Linked DNA regions of Bombyx mori. The protein of the gene in region 2 purifies or fractionates together with the protein of the main gene of each other region. This does not show direct contact. Links are inferred from orthologs where the notes say so. Each region holds a gene or a part of one and is shown on either strand. Other genes may lie near its edges.

Evidence for each region. The genes of interacting proteins can lie anywhere in the genome.
Region 1: the proteins of PLCg (region 2) and ras GTPase-activating protein 1 purify together in Homo sapiens (affinity purification with western blotting; 3 studies listed by BioGRID and IntAct, with this or other methods). This does not show direct contact. The link is inferred for Bombyx mori from reciprocal best matches to the Homo sapiens genes PLCG1 and RASA1.

The regions. Positions count from the first base shown.
Region 1 is NC_085127.1:9,727,870-9,735,876, forward strand, and holds part of ras GTPase-activating protein 1, read left to right. Parts: intron 1-819; coding exon 820-944; intron 945-1,146; coding exon 1,147-1,489; intron 1,490-1,569; coding exon 1,570-1,863; intron 1,864-2,333; coding exon 2,334-2,504; intron 2,505-3,112; coding exon 3,113-3,288; intron 3,289-4,019; coding exon 4,020-4,092; intron 4,093-4,542; coding exon 4,543-4,661; intron 4,662-4,830; coding exon 4,831-4,961; intron 4,962-5,482; coding exon 5,483-5,652; intron 5,653-6,405; coding exon 6,406-6,534; intron 6,535-7,285; coding exon 7,286-7,415; intron 7,416-8,007. UniProt on the Homo sapiens protein: Inhibitory regulator of the Ras-cyclic AMP pathway. Stimulates the GTPase of normal but not oncogenic Ras p21; this stimulation may be further increased in the presence of NCK1.
Region 2 is NC_085107.1:5,698,187-5,706,664, forward strand, and holds the start of PLCg (phospholipase C gamma), read right to left. Parts: upstream 5,888-8,478; 5' UTR 5,757-5,887; exon of another isoform or gene 5,638-5,756; 5' UTR 5,604-5,637; coding exon 5,246-5,603; intron 5,133-5,245; coding exon 4,994-5,132; intron 4,459-4,993; coding exon 4,296-4,458; intron 3,573-4,295; coding exon 3,372-3,572; intron 2,772-3,371; coding exon 2,656-2,771; intron 2,570-2,655; coding exon 1,639-2,569; intron 459-1,638; coding exon 277-458; intron 1-276. UniProt on the Homo sapiens protein: Mediates the production of the second messenger molecules diacylglycerol (DAG) and inositol 1,4,5-trisphosphate (IP3). Plays an important role in the regulation of intracellular signaling cascades.

The DNA of each region.
Region 1 (8,007 bases), on a different chromosome or scaffold from region 2:
GCGGGTAGGTACCACCACCCTGCCTATTTCTGCCGTGAAGCAGTAATGCGTTTCGGTTTGAAGGGTGGGGCAGCCGTTGTAACTATACTGAGACCTTACAACTTATATCTCAAGGTGGGTGGCGCATTTACGTTGTGGATGTCTATGGGCTCCAGTAACCGCTTAACACCAGGTGGGCTCAGAGCTCGTCCACCCATCTAAGCAATAAAAAAAACCTACGTTAGTTAAATCTAAATAAACCATATTAAAAAATGTTATGAATTTTCCTAAAAAGTGCGAAAAAACTTTTTCCCCAATCTATTACACCAAAATAACATTTTTTACAATTTTTGTTTGTCTGTCTATTTGTTCCGGCTAATCTCTGGAACGCGTGGACCGATTTTGACAAGACTTTCACTGATAGGTGGCTGACGACGATATTTTTTAGACTAGTTTCGCCCTGCGGCGTCACCCGCGATACAACAATAACCGCGGGTAAGGTCGCGGGACTCAGCTATCAATAATAAAATTTAATGTTTCCGTAGCGAAGTGAGGGTGGGTCGCTAGTCACAAATAAAAATTGTAGAAGAAATAACATTCAGTACATAACCAAATCTGACTGAGTAAATTATTGTTCCATTTATAAATAGTAAAATTAAATGATGGTAATAATTTATTAAAATGTTCATAATTTAGACAAAATTATTTATGTGTCCCAGAAACATGTGAACCAGTCATTTTCCTCATTTATTTTAGATACAAATTATTTACCCGTACGGTTGCCGCTTGTTTTGTTCGTTTTCTAGTACATTTAACAATAATTTTGTAATGGTTTTTCAGAGGGTTGTTGCAATTTTACCTTATACAAAAATGCCCGACACTGATGAATTGACTTTTCAAAAGGGCGACATCTTTTTTGTACATAATGACATGGGTGATGGATGGCTCTGGGTCACAGCTCATAGGTAAGAAAAAAATCTTACATATCTCTTGAAATTTTCTTAAAAGTACTAGTAAATTTTGTACAGGCTTTTATTGTTGTGAGTTTTCCACATCAGATTTTTATGGTACTGTGAAGTATGGTATTTTTAATAAGTAAACAAAATATCTAGTAATAATATGAATATGATTGCCAAATTGAATTATAATTAACATCATTTTATTTAGGACCGGTGAACAGGGAATGATATTTAGAGAGTTGGTTGAAGATCTGGATCCTTCTATCGATCCAAACACGGTATTTTCGTGGTTCCATCCAAACTGTACCAAGAGTGAAGCAGTTGACATGCTAGTCAAGGCGGGCCCTGGAAGTTTCCTCGTCAGACCATCTGATAATTCTCCAGGAGACTATTCTTTGTTCTTTCACATTAACAACCAGATTCAAAGGTTCAGGATTGAGAAGAAGGGCGTCAGGTACTTGATGGGAGGTCGAACCTTTGAGTGCTTGGATGCTGTGATCAATAGATATAGGAAAGAACAAATTGTTGAAGGACACACTTTAGGTCAGCCGGTGAGTGTACATTCTATGAGCAATTTGTCACGTGGCAATTCTGGAATTTTATGTTAATTTTGATAATGAAATTCCTTTAGCTTATTGCGGAAGGTCACACTATCGAGCCGCAGCAAAGTACAACAGGGGCTGCAGCTGAAAAGATATATGCAACATTACGCGAATGTCGAGATCAGATCGGTCTGAAAAAGACGAAAGGAATCAAGCACTATGGGTATCTGAACAAGAAATCTGACAAGGGTGCTAAAAAATGGAAGCCTTTATACTGTGTGCTATTACAGGAAGGAACCGACACACATTTGTATTTTTACGATTCGCCGAAAAGGACCAAACCAAAAGGACTCATCGATCTATCATGCGCATATCTTTACCAGGTTGGTAATTAAATTTGAGACAAACATTTTATTTATTATAGTTTTCGTCTACTTAAATAATGTTACAAAATCGTGTTCGTACATTAAGATTAGGTTAAAATGTTTTTGTGTTGTTGACGTCAAATTACCTTTGTTATTATTACTTGTATGTTTGTAATGTTTGCATCATCCAAAAAATATTGAGCCGATTTTTTATCCTTGGCCCTTTCACGTTTCATATAAACTTCAAAGTTTGTTTTTACTATGCTAGGAACTGGAGATATAGGCAATTATATAAAAAAAAAAAGTTGCACTTATTTTAATTCATTTGTACTTTCTATTTAAGGCCAGTGAAATTATGGGACATTTCTTGTATCAACTAAAACTATAACGCTAAAGATACAATAAATTTTATTAGTGTAATGATTGTCTCATAAAAATTAAAAACATACATATTATTTACAGAAAATTAATATAAAATTTGATTACAGGTTCACGAATCACTTTGGGAAAAGGAGTTTTGTTTCCAACTCGTCGAACGTGCCCTACCATGTCTCTCTACACATACATTCTTGGCTGCCAATACTGCTACTGAGGAGAGGGCCTGGATTGAGGCTCTAAGACCTTTATGTGTGCCGCAGCAAGCACGACACCAGTGCAAGGTAATATCAATAATAATCAAAATATTGTAAATACTAAAGTGAGTTGTTTTGTCTTTACGTAGAAAAGAAAGATAAATAGAACCCGCCGACGGCCCTTTGTGTTTTCGTGCCTAATATATTGCAACAGTAATAACACAATTAGATGAAATTATATAATTCTTATTATAAACTAGCGACCCGCCCTAGCTTCGCTTCGGAAACATTAAATTTTATTATTGATAGTTGAGTACCGCGATGTTACCGGGGCAAAACTAGTATAAAAAAAGTAGCCTAAGTTACTCCTTATATCATCAGCTACCTATTACTGAAAGTCTCGTCAAAATCGGTCCCGCCATTCCAGAGATTAGCCGGAACAAACAGCCAGACAGACAAAAATTGTTATTTTGGTGTATCTACCGTATATATATTTATTTATTTATAAATAAATAATAAATAATAAAATAAATATATTCATATGCATGTAGTAAAAAGAGGCTATTTCAATATTACACACAGACACTCCAATTTTATTTATATGTATAGATTATTAATTAGCCATCTGTTGAAAATTCCGTGAAAAGAGCTAGTCTGGTTTTGAAGTGGCGATATGAGGTACAAGTTTGCATCAGGTGGGGCGCGTGTCGTGGGTGCGTTGGCTGCGCGTGCGTTGCCTGACGGCGCACCGGCTGCCCGCCCGCCTGGCGCCGCGCCCGCACCTGCGCGTGCTGCTGGGCGCCGCGCCCGTCGCCCGCACCCGCCCGCGCCCCTCGCCCGATCCGCACTGGGACGACGAGTTCTTCTTCGAGTTAGTACTATTATTATTTACTAACTTTTGCCCGCGACTTCGTCCGCGTGGAATAGTTCACAATTAATGCTTTTTTATTTGTAAACAAATTTGGTTAGCATAAAAAGCGTTATAGTGAGCCAACCTTAACATATAGCCGTACTCTCACATACTACATATGCCGTACTTCATATGCTGTCGCGGATTTTTTTTTTATCTTTTAAAGGGGAACAATTCTGTCATACATTATTTTAGCGAAACTTTAACCGTTTCCGCAGCGCACGCAGCGGAAGCTCTCAAAAGGGAAAAATACCCCGATTTTGAAACATTATCTATTGTTGCTCCGCTTGCATTGGTCTTAGGTCTTAGCGTGATGTTATATAACCTATAGCCTTCCTCAGTAAATGAGCTATCTGACACTGAAAGAATTTTTCAAATCGGACCAGTAGTTCCGGAGATTAGCGCGTTCAAACAAACGAAACTCTTCAGCTTTATAATATTAGTATAGATTTATCGCTGCACAAGACAGAAGTTATGGACACAGGAGCTGTCAGAGTGCGTGCTGGCTGCCTTCTGACTGTGAAGTACTCTTAAACCTCGCTGAAAATGTTTTCGTTCTTGGACTCTTCTGCAAAAAGTTATTTCCAGTTTGATAATATCTGATTTTTTTTTAACATTATGAGTTAATAAACTGGTACTACTTTTAATTTCAAATAATTATTGTGATGCTAAATGTTACAACACTTTTACAGTGATATGCCTCCAGATGTAACTTCATTTACAATTACCGTACATAATACAGGGAAAAGAGGAAAAGAATCTGAAGTAAGTATTAAAATTATTATTATAATAATCTGTTTCCGCTGTTCTAGAGGTTCATTGAGAGTTTCCCTTAAATTATTTTTATTTTTTCAATTCGTTTCTCGATAGATAGTAATTACAGTTTTTATGCGTAATCATAGGGTGAACGAGCTTGCGGCCCACCTCGTGTTAAGTGATTACCGAAACCCATAGATATCCCACCGTGAATGCCGCCTACCACCTTGGGACTTCAGGTCCATGTCTCAATTGTAATTACTAATAATCTACTTTTTGCAAGTTTGATTTTTATTACACAATGCTATATGTTTCATCGTGGAAATCATTCGTGAAACACCAGTGAATAAGGAATTAATTATTTCATTAGAAATATTGGTACTAGGCTCCTACTATTACTCCATCCACATCCTGGTCTATCTCTATCCAACTCTAATGGTATTTTCTATCCGAATATAGGTGGCTGAACTGACTATAGAACTCGCAAATTTGGCAAACGGTGAAGAAATAGAAGAATGGTATCCCTTAGTAGGAATGACTCCTATTGGGGAGTGGGGATCCTTGAGACTGCGGATAAGGTAGGATGTACTAATAGTAATAATGCCCCAGTTTCAAATAATCAAATAAATTTATTTGGCTACTTGGAACTGGCATATGCTAGAAATAAATACTTTAATTTTGATATAAATTAAATTTTTTGGTGTGTGTGTGTGTATGCTCCTAATTTTCATTTTGGCAAAATTGCAGGTATATGCAAGAATTAGTAATGCCTCGTGAAGAGTACAACCCGCTTCGTCAATTGTTGCTGGAACCGGGCATTCCGGCTGTGAAGGCGTTAGCAGATCTTTGCAGGACCGATCGACAACCTTTGGCAACATGTTAGTTTTATTAATCCATATTGTTTCTCCGTTTTATACATTTGTTTTAATATAGATTTTCTTTGTTGTATTATCCGCTCAACTTTGTTACAGTATAATTGTATAATGTAACGTATTTAAAGGCAGAAAAGAAAATTAAATTTCAAATCGTACTGGTAAATACACGAATGAGCGCTTTTTTTTTTTTCGCCTTTTATTATAGCCATAAATCTATTAGGTTAAGTCGGCTAATGAGCACTTTAAAATACAAAAACTTTCCAGCAATTTATGTCCATTGTGTATATTTTCATTTATTATCAACACAATAGAAGATGTATGATTGATGGAATGACGGCGATTATGCCCAATGATGGTGAAATAAAAAGTTTGCTAGGACTATTATATTACAATATAGTATACAGATGAGCTAAGAAAAGTTAGCTATTCTAATTAGTCAATGAATTACTTGCAAATGTCATCAGATAGTAGCTGATTTATCTGTGCAAATAATTGTGTAACGGGCGTGCGTGTGTACGTTACAGCGGTGCTGAACACGTTCGCGGAGTGCGGGCGCGGCGCGGAGCTGGCCCGCGAGCTCACGTGCGCGGAGGTGGCGCGCGAGGGCGACCACAAGACGCTGTTCCGCGGCGCCTCGCTCGCCACCGCCGTGCTCGACGAGTTCATGCGCGCCCACTGCAAGCCCTTCCTACAGGTCACCTCTTTGTACTACCAACTATTTAGAAAATATTTTTTTTTTATTGCCCATTGTAGGCAGACGAGCATACGGCCCACCTGATGGTGAGTGATTACCGGCACCCAAGCCGCTGCCTTGTTTAAGCAATGGGGAGAATTGATTTTTTTTTAAATTAATTGTGCATCAAAATTAACACTAAACATAACATATCGGATCAAATGACCCATTTTGAACTTTTACATTTGAAAAGCACGTATCATGTTATTGCTTTTGCACGTTTGACTTCATGGCTTTTTCTTACCGATTTAATCTACTGTTATTTCTTTGTTTTGTTTTAATTTTTTTGAGTAATACTTGTCGTATAGGTACCATTATCTACCCGCTATGGTAGAAAAAGGTATCAGTAAGTGTTGGTATGATTAGTGTTAAAGTATAGATTCCATTACATTTATGTGTGCAGTTCCATATGTTTCAATTTCAAATAATTTATTCACCTAAATAATATTTATGTAATGACTAGCCATTGCCATAGTAATAACATATAATACATATCAGATATACATATGTTTTATAACATAATCAAATAAAAGCACACAGTCATGCAAATAAAGTTAATAGAAAATCTATAAAAATAAATGATTGTGGTACCTAATCACAATAATAATTTAACAAATAGTTGTGTTAAATCAACAGTAAAAAAATTAAGAGAATTCATGTCACTGCATGTCCCTGTTGTGATTGAAATTAAAAATATGTATTTTTTTTATTCAGGCGGCGATTTCGGAAACCATTCAAAAGCTGATTGATTCTAAACAGACAGCAGAATTGAATCCCACTAAGATGGATTCACCTGACGACGCGTGTAACAATGCTGAATTTTTACTTATGATTCTCGATCAGGTAAAAATAATTAAGAACGAATATTACATACACACACTATTAATTGATGGGTTCTTACCACTATCTTCACACATCGTGACATTACGATATTTTGGTGGTATTGCAAGTGCCATGACCACGGGTAGACTGAAGACTAGCAGCACTTTTTTTTAAACAATCGTGCATCCTATATTTTCGGATTCCTCACGATAACCAGTTCGTGGAACGCTTTGTCCTGCAAGGAAGGGTGAAAAGCACGGTGTGCCTTGGACTGACATTGGGGGGCTTGTTAAAAGAGTCCAGTAGAATGGCCTCGATCAAGGAGAGGCAGCGGGCGTCGTAAAATATGTCAGATTTATCTCTTCAAAGCTACAGAACGATCACGACCGCTCTATCAAGAGTGAAACGAGTGAAAGTTAAGAATAAGAAAATATCCCAAATATAAAAATAATAAAAGTAAAGGCGAAAATGATGTTAATTATATTAAATACAGAGTGAACCGCGCGCATGGGTATCACCACCCTACCTATTTCTGCCGTGAAGCAGTAATGCGTTTCAGTTTTAAGGGTGGGGCAGCCGCTGTAACTATACTTGAGACCTTAGAACTTATATTGGGTGGCGGTTTACATTGTGGATGTTTATGGGCTCCAGTAACCACTTAACACCAGGTGGGCTGTGAGCTCGTCCACCCACGTTGAAAATAAAGTTGGTATAAATTGAATATTGTTGTCCTTTATCACATTGAATTAAAAAAAAGATTATGACATTTCAGATTACCCTATCAATATTTACTTCACCGGAAGCATGCCCTAAGCCGGTGAGATATCTGTGCGGGTGTCTGCAGCGAGCCGCGGTCGCCAAGTGGCCCAACGAACGCTTTGTACGCACCAGGGTCGTCTCAGGTATGAAATCAAAATTCGAATATGTAACGAAATTGTATGAACACGATGCGTTGTACTGTTTTAACAAATTAAGTTAGATTAAGGTATCTGTTGTTGAATTTTAAAAACAAATACCATCAACATTGAAATGCTTTTTTTTATTTTTTTATTGCTCATATGGGTGGACGAGCTCACAGCCCACCTGGTGTTAAGTGATTACTGGAGCCCATAAACATCTATGACGTAAAAGCCGCCACCCACCGTGAGATATAACCTCTATGAAATCTATATATATATAAATGAATTGCTGTTCGTTAGTCTCGCTAAAACTCGAGAACGGCTGGACCGATTTGGCTAATTTTGGTCTTGAATTGTTTGTGGAAGTCAAGAGAAGGTTTAAAAGGTAGATAAATGTGAAAATGCTCGGAATTAAATAAAAATAACAATTTTGTTTTTCCTTTGATGTGTCCCCCGTCGTCGGACGGATTCCTTTTGTTTGTTTTAAGTTTATTTTAGACAAAAGTTTAGGTCTTTTATTTATCGATTGAGGCACTGCAAAGTCTGCCGGGTCAGCTAGTCCTAAATAATAAATCATATTTATATCTGGTTTAGT
Region 2 (8,478 bases):
TATTAGCCTATCCATTAAGTACTCGTATTTTCTACATGGATACCAAGTTTCAAGTCAATTGCATGCACGGTTCAGTGGTTATAATCGAACATCCGTAAAAACCACTGTATTTATATATTAGTATAGATTGTCTGCTCTTTCAAAAACAATGTACAAACTAAACACAAGCAAAGCTCTATTACGAACTAATCATGTTATAAGCATTTCAATTGACAGCTAATGATCATTAAAAATATCAAAATGATAGGCTCAATTGTAGACTTGAAATTAGGATACCTGAAACTAATTGCGAAGCTCCCTTGTTCCTTTTCGCTGGGGCGTACTAGGAAAGCGCCGTCGGTGTTGGTCTTCCGCAGTAATTCTTCGGCTTGAGTACGCGTGCAGTGCGCGTGGAACCATTCCTTGCCTTCATGCTTGTTAGGCTGAGGCACTGGCTCCTTTAACGTTATCAGGAACTCCTTGCGATAATAATTTATTTATTACTAAGTATTTAGTTACGATTTCAGTAGCCATCACCCAGATATATAATATTATTATAAATATTGTGTAAAATATTACATATACAGTCAAACCTGGGTAAGTGAGAACTGGATAAGTGAGAAAACTCTATAAGTGAGAGTAATAGCCAGGGCCCGTCATTTTAAGCTCCCAAAACCTCTATTAGCGAGAAACAGAAACCTCTGTAAGAGAGTCGTTTTTCTCTCATGGACCTCCGTAAGTGAGACTGCTACGTATCTATACCTCTATAAGCGACAGTCGAACTTTATTTATTTATATTATTTAGGAGGAACAAATGACAAAACAAATTACAAATTTAACATCTGCTATTTTATAACTAATTCTTAACTTTCGTGGAACTTCCTACCATTGTTTTTGTATTGTTTTCTCGTCAATATTGAAACTATTCTATTTAATGGAACCTAATAACGTTGTTATTTTATCGCATTCTTTTCGAATGGACACGTGTGCCTGTGTACCGTCCTGTTTGTCGGACTTACACAGTTTATCGTTAATTAATTGCGAAGGAAAGTTCTGTTCTGCATCATGTCAAAACGGAAAATTAAAGTACTGTCATTAAGTGATAAACTTAAAATAGTGAATGCGTTTGAATCCGGAAAATCGCGAAATGAAATTCAGAGGGTGCATTAGTGAGAAACTCGGGTTAGTGAGAAACCTCTATAAGCGAGAATGAGATAGTGCTCCCTTGAACTCTCGCTTATCCAGGTTTGACTGTATATAATTTACATGTTAGTAAAACAGGGTTTGCTTACATATTATTTTTATAAAATAAATAAATAAAAACTGAAACAAAATTAAATTAAACCAAAATTAAATGTGTTCTTATAATAATTTTTTTTTTTAATAATCAATAACAAGTGTGATATTATTTACATATTTTCTTTCATTGATTACAATAATTCTGTGGTTTTCCTTGTGAAATTTTCCCGTGTTATATTACGTTAAATCAATTTCGCATTAATATTAATGTATATGCAGGAAAATAACAAAAGGTCAACTGATGCAAGTCCCCATTAACATTCAAAGAAAATGCATGCATGCAACCCTGCTACCTTGCAGAAAACTCATGCATATTTCATGCGATCATGTTAATAAATGCTAAACTATTTATTGTCTTACTTGACTCCTCAGAGGATGTGACCTATAATGGGTGATGAGGTTGTACAGGCTGTCGAAACACATACTATCTATCAGATAGAACTTGGTGACCCCCCGTTCCTGTTTGAGCTTGATGCGGCAGTGATTTACTTTCCCTTGCCGCCAGAATGATAGACAGTAGTCACCGACAAAAGTAACGCTCTCCCTCACCAGAAAGGTTCCATCGCCAAGATGGGCGTGGGCTCTCAGCAAATCTTCGGCTTCTTGTCGATTCCCTGCCAGCTTCCCGTGGAACCAACATTCTGCGAAATGTAATTCATCTTGTGGTACAATAGCGTTTTCCGCATCTGAGTCTCCGTCACTTTCAGTGTCGGTTTCTTCTTGACTGTTGTAGCTCTCTGTATAGTAAAGTTTGTTCTCGGTGAGCACGAAGGCGTGAGGCTTCCATTCTTTGTCGACAGGATCTTCCAAATGCAATATACCATTTTTGATCGAATTTCGTAGGTCTAAATCTTTTCCTTCTTCTTGACGTACTGCGAAAGAACTTTCTTCAGCACCTTCAGGTAATTTTTTATGTTTCAGGATTATTTTTCTGCGTAAGTCATGAGGAGAGGGAAGTGATGTTTCATTCTTATCCATTGGATGAACAAGAAGAAGGTCACCGAATACGTCTTGAAATGCGCTCGCCATTCGTCTTTGCTGTGGGAGTGAGCAGTTGTCTTCGATAGACAAAATTAATGGATATTCAGATGTGATGAATGCATGTTCTTTTATTGTTCGCAGTACATCCATAAACCTTATTTTCGTTGTCAGTGTGTGCCCGTGATAAATAAAAGGTGTGCCGTCAGGACCATCCCAACAATCTAGCTCAATACAACGACAGCCTGACCTCAAGCACCGCACGTAGGCCTCCAGTGATGATTCACTTGAAAACTGGTCACCTGTCAGATACCTACAATAACACAATATGTAGAACCACTTAATGCATGATATGCAATCCACGAAAAGTTTCATCAATATAATAACATTTATGCTTACGTGTTATGAGAAGAAGATATCCAATAGTGTGACAAAGGCCTGGTCATATCTTGTGTAACCTTATCATACTGACTGTCATAGATGGAATTCTGCTTGGAGTACAGCATCTCGACAAACTGCAATTAGGTAATTTAAAGAAAAATTTAAAAAAAGTTTGAATATCTCTATTAGTGGAATGAGAAATATTGTAATTGATTATTTAGAAATAATTTATACATTATATTTGGTATAAGAATACAGCTTTAGATAACGAGAATAGAACAGCTTGCAAAGCAGGCGCTCATAATTTAAATGTGTTATCATCATGAAAACGCTGAGCGTACATACCACCTGGTTGCTCCTGGACATCAGTAGTATCCATGGCAAAAAAAAAGTGGGGAAGCCCATTGAGTGTACTGGGCATGCTGCAGTTTCTTAAAGCCATAGCATGCCCAGTACAACAACCTCTTTCCTACTATAAGTATCATACTATAAGTAGTAGGAAAGAGGTTTGCATTTATGGTGGGCAGCAACAGGGAGAACTGAGGCCTTCCATAAAGACTCAGAGGCTCGAAATTATAGGTAAGACCAGAATCACCTACAATCTTAATAACCGTCTTATGTATAAAGTAAAATGGCAGTAGCAGGTCACAGAAAACAAAATGGAAGCAAAACTTTGTAGAAAAAGTATTTTCACCATGCAAGAAGTACTACTTCACACTGCTGAGTTAATTTACCTCGCTTAAAGTGAAATAAGGTTCATAGATGTCTCTTTGTGGATCTCTTAAGTAATCACGGATGAACTGTGAGGCTTGTACTTCATCATCACCAAGGTTATCATGCTGTTCATCTCTAAGGAAATTTTGAAACTCTCTAAGAGTAATAGTAGTACCATTAGAACAATAGACTGAGTATTTATCAAATATGTCCTGAACATTCTGAAAAAAATATATTTTACATACATCACTGTCTATAAGTTTATATTAAAATATTATAATGTGGACAAGGAGTTAAATGCATAAAAAATTACTTTCTTATTAATTCAGTGAATGTGGCATTGCCTGATTTCTAAGCCAATATGGTTCTTAATGCATTCATAATATATTGTTTGTTTATGAGAGTATAATAAAAGGTCACAGATTTTTTCACGACTTCTGATGAAGCCATCATTAAGATAATTTATGTGAGACATGGATTAATTTGAGTTACTATCACTACATCCATATTATAATCTTCCTAAACAGCTCTTACCCTCTAATAGAATAGTTGACAGTTTTTTGAGGAAGCAACATAATATCTAATACTATATAATATTGCCCACCAGAAAAATGTATTAAATAATTTACAGTTTTAAAAAATGTACAGTTTTAAAAAATTTGCAACCAAAAACATCAAGACATCATGTCTTCTACCCTAGAACAATCAAAGGTTTCAAACTATTGATGGACTGATCCATATTTCAGATTAAGAAACTAATGGCTTCTCGTTATACCTATAAGCTTTGATGATTACATACCTTGTGAGCCAAGAGCTCATCTACTCATTTATCTTAATAAATAACAAGTTTGATGTTTGAATAAGTTTAATTAGTAACATTTAAAGAAATACTAGATTTGTTGTTTATGATAACCTACTTTTTAGTAAATTAGATGAATACTTACATTCTCATCAAAAATTAGCTTCTGATAAAGAACAGCAAAATCATCAAAGCCAATCTCCCCTCTTTTTTCAGTGTCAACATCTTGGAATACATCTCGAAGCTTACTTGTTGAAATTTTACAATTAATTTTTGGTAGAAAAGCTTTGACCTCTTTTAATGTTATTCTAAAATGATTTTTGTATATTACATTTACAATATATATGCATTTTCAAGCTAATTAAATTGAAATAAGAAAATTAATATAACAATAGGTTTTTCATATTTACTCACACTAAATAATGAAAATATGTAACAGACAATTGAAAGACTAATAAAGCAATATAACTTGAGTTTAACTTAATATTACATTGCAAGCTTTGCATTGTTTTCTATTACAATTTATTTTACTTTATGATCATTTGGTAATAGTTTGTTACTTTTACATACCTATTACTAAAAATGTGTTGACAAAGCCTGCCTTACAATAAATTACATTACAATATGTTCCATTTATGTAAAAAAGCTAATTAAGTTTACTTTCATCAATTACTACTTACTGAGATCTATATATACTCTAGTTTACTGGAAAATAATAACAATTGCTGCTAATGTACCAAAATAGGCAAGAAAGAAACATAATTAATCATTGAAATCACATATGGAATGGTAAAATAACAATTACTGGCAATTTTTACATTCACATTTTTAAAAATAACTCACTTTTCATGGGAGTTTTCAATAGAATAGAATTCTTTCCGGAGCCATCTTTCAATCTGTAGAGGATATGATGCACTGACAGCTTCTGCTATTAGATACAGTACACCTTTCACCCAAGCTTCACACTCTTTATCTGTTTGAGCTGAAAGATTGTAAATAGTGACTCAGATCCATTTATAGAGGAAACATAAAATTAACAGAACTCAGTCCGCGCACTCACACATTTAGAAATGTTTATAAACTACTTCAACATACCAACAAATGATGCACAGCGAAGTTTAAATTCAGTTCCATAATAAATGGTAAAGCATTTTGAACTTTCAAGACGTTTGGTTTCTTCAGGCCAACGCTCAAAGTCTTTGGATGATTTTCCAGTGCGAACTTCTTTGACATCACGGATATCGAGAGCCCCTTCGTAGCCCTGTCTCTGAGGGGCATTGATTCGAGACCAAAGAACTTGATGGGTCTCTCTTCTCACGCAAAGTGCACGCCTTTCGGGTCTCTTACGAGGGAAGAATTTTAAAACGGTAGAGCCTCTTTCTATGTAGGAGATAAGCTGGTCTGCCTCGTGTATGAGCCTATCTTTGGCCCCGTTGAAGCAGACCGACTTCATTGCACTTCCGCCCTCACCGCCGGATGCAAGCAAACTGTGGCGAAAGTGAACAACGCATGAAATAAAAGAGCGACTGCTAATATTTCTCTACATATAAATAAGGCACCCGAGTTTAAAATACATTATTACTGGCTATTTCTACATTACACACACTTTGATATTTAGTTTGTTTGACATTTCCAAACCAAATGAGATGCATAGATTATACACTTAATATATAAATGATGAGATGGTTGAGACGGGGATGATTACGTTCCGTTTTAGCTGGTTTTAGCATTCAATTCTTTGACTGACATTTCTTACGTCAAGAGGCTCAATTATAAACTTTTTCAATTTATTGAAATCTAAATTTTATGACAGTATGAACCTATAGTTTTGTATTGTTTTTTTTTACATGTTGATAAGTTTGAGACGTTCTATTAAATAATGATAGCCCAATTAAAAAAAAAGTACTATGTTAAATAAATAAAGATCATTTTTTTATGATTGAATGCTTTTACTGGTGGCCCGGATGCCTTTCCAGTTTTACTTGGACAGGTGAGCGAGCAAAGGCTCAACCAGGAAATTAAGATCATGGGATCCCGCCAACTTACTAAAAAATATAAACGATATTGGCGGTAAAATTGAAATAGATAGACCTTACATTTTAAACCTTTACCCTTGATATTTTAGTAGTACATTAGTAGTTATTCACAATATAGATATATGCTCATTCGCAAATAACCCATCACCGTATGTATGTTTGTTATAAGCATGTATTTATTGATAAAGATTTCTATACCGCAGATTTTCATAGTTTTAGTATACTTTTTTTTAATCTCTCTTCAAATCAATCAGCTAATGTGTAGTGTTAATGAATATATCGCTTAATGTTTTTCTTAAATAGGCAGACGAATCATGATCCACTTGATGTTATGCGATCGAAGACCAAAACAAAACAATTCTTTTTTGGATATCGATTCTAATAATATTGTGTTAATTAAGTACAGAAGTGTAACGTAGAAAGGTCATTGATGAATTTCAAAACATAGTAGTAATTGTAATCAAATAGATTTAATACTTAGAGTATGTATGTAATTTGTAATAAATTGAAAGGCAAACGTGTGTTTTGAAATGGAAAACCTATATGCATACATATACGTTTTTATTTTGTGATGATACCTATGTGTAGATTTTTTTTTGTTTACACGACCTATTGTTATATTGTATATTTGGGCCGTTGTATACCGTTGTTGATTCTTTTCGAATCTCGTTTAAAGCAGGTCAATCAATAGTGTTAACCACAGTGTAAGCTTAAATGAGCAGAGTTAATTCCAGACACGCACATGAAATAAATGTTTTTTTTCAAGGCATTAGCGCAAATACAAATATCAAAATTTTGAGTATAAGCTTACATAAATAGGAAAAGACAAAACCTTAAGTAACATAAGTAAATTTTTATTCTTTTATTGTCAACCTATTTCATTTTCAATTTTTTTCCGTTTATTTCCGTTTTCTGTATAATGTCTGCCTTCACGACTAATCTTTAGAACCGGTACGTAAGTATCTTAAGAAAGCCTTAGCACGCTTCTTCGACTTACTCGTCGTTTATTACCAAGAGTTACTAATTAAAATGAACTAATCTATAGACACAATCCACTGAGTTTCTCGGCCGATCTTCTCAGGAGGTCGTGATTACGATCCGGTGGTAGATCCGAAGAAGAAGAAGAAGAAGGGTCGTCGTACCCCCTTACGGGGGCACGGAACGGGCCTCGGGGCAAACCCCACTGCCCGGGCAGAAACTCCCTGCCACTTAGGGCAGGGGTGGACTGATGAAGGGAGGAATGAGAGGGAGGGTTCGTATGCGTATGCGCGTGGAGGTAGATCCGACGGCGAAACACTGCTCTTTATAGGGCTAGTGTTTGCAAATTCTCTCAGGTTGAGTCCGTGAGGTCACCTACCCGTCCGCGCGTAGCTGTAATAGCCTCGCTACCAGCAAATAGGTAAGATAAAAAACGCTAATAGTCATAAGTATAGTGTGTTAAAAATAAATAGGTAATTGGACATTTTTTGTAAACCGAGGAATAAATGATTCAGTTTGAATAGAAATAATATTACAGTAACAGAACGACGTCAATGCGAGAATTGTAATATTGCACCTAAGATGTTTTACTTATAAATAGTTGCCATATAGGTATAATATTCTCTTGTCTGTCTCAGTTTCAAGGTCCCAAAGGATATATTTTTTCATTGTCTTATCTGTACCTATTCAATGTTAAAGTTTAAATTGTTCTATTTTTTTTTTATAATTTAGGTTTTAAAACTTTATTTCAATCTAAGTATTCTTGGTAAAACTACCTCTTAGATTAATATTACTATTTATTTTTTATTTTAGTTTATTTCGGACTTCATTTTTTATTTAATTAGTCTGTGAAATATCTGGTATTTAATTTTTAAATCCTGTTATGAAGACAAATATGCATAAATAATGTCAATAAACAGTTGTTGAGTAGATGATATAAGTAAGTATGTATATCGCACTTTACAAACACGATTTATTCCTTATAACAAATGTGAAAGGACTTTTAAAAAAACAAGACAACAAAATTGTCACTCCACTTTTTCACTCCATGAAATTAGAGACACATAATATAGGTATTCCCTGCTTGCAATTATTATAAGGCAACAACCATCAAATCAATGGTTTTCTATAAGCAGGATAACTTTGAAAATCTATATTAATAAAAATGAATTGCTGTTCGTTAGTCTCGCTAAAACTCGAGAACGGCTGGACCGATTTGGCTAATTTTGGTCTTGAATTATTTGAGGTTGAATTGAATTGAATTGAATTGACTTGAATTATTTGAAGTCGTCGTGGCCTAAAGGATAAGACGTC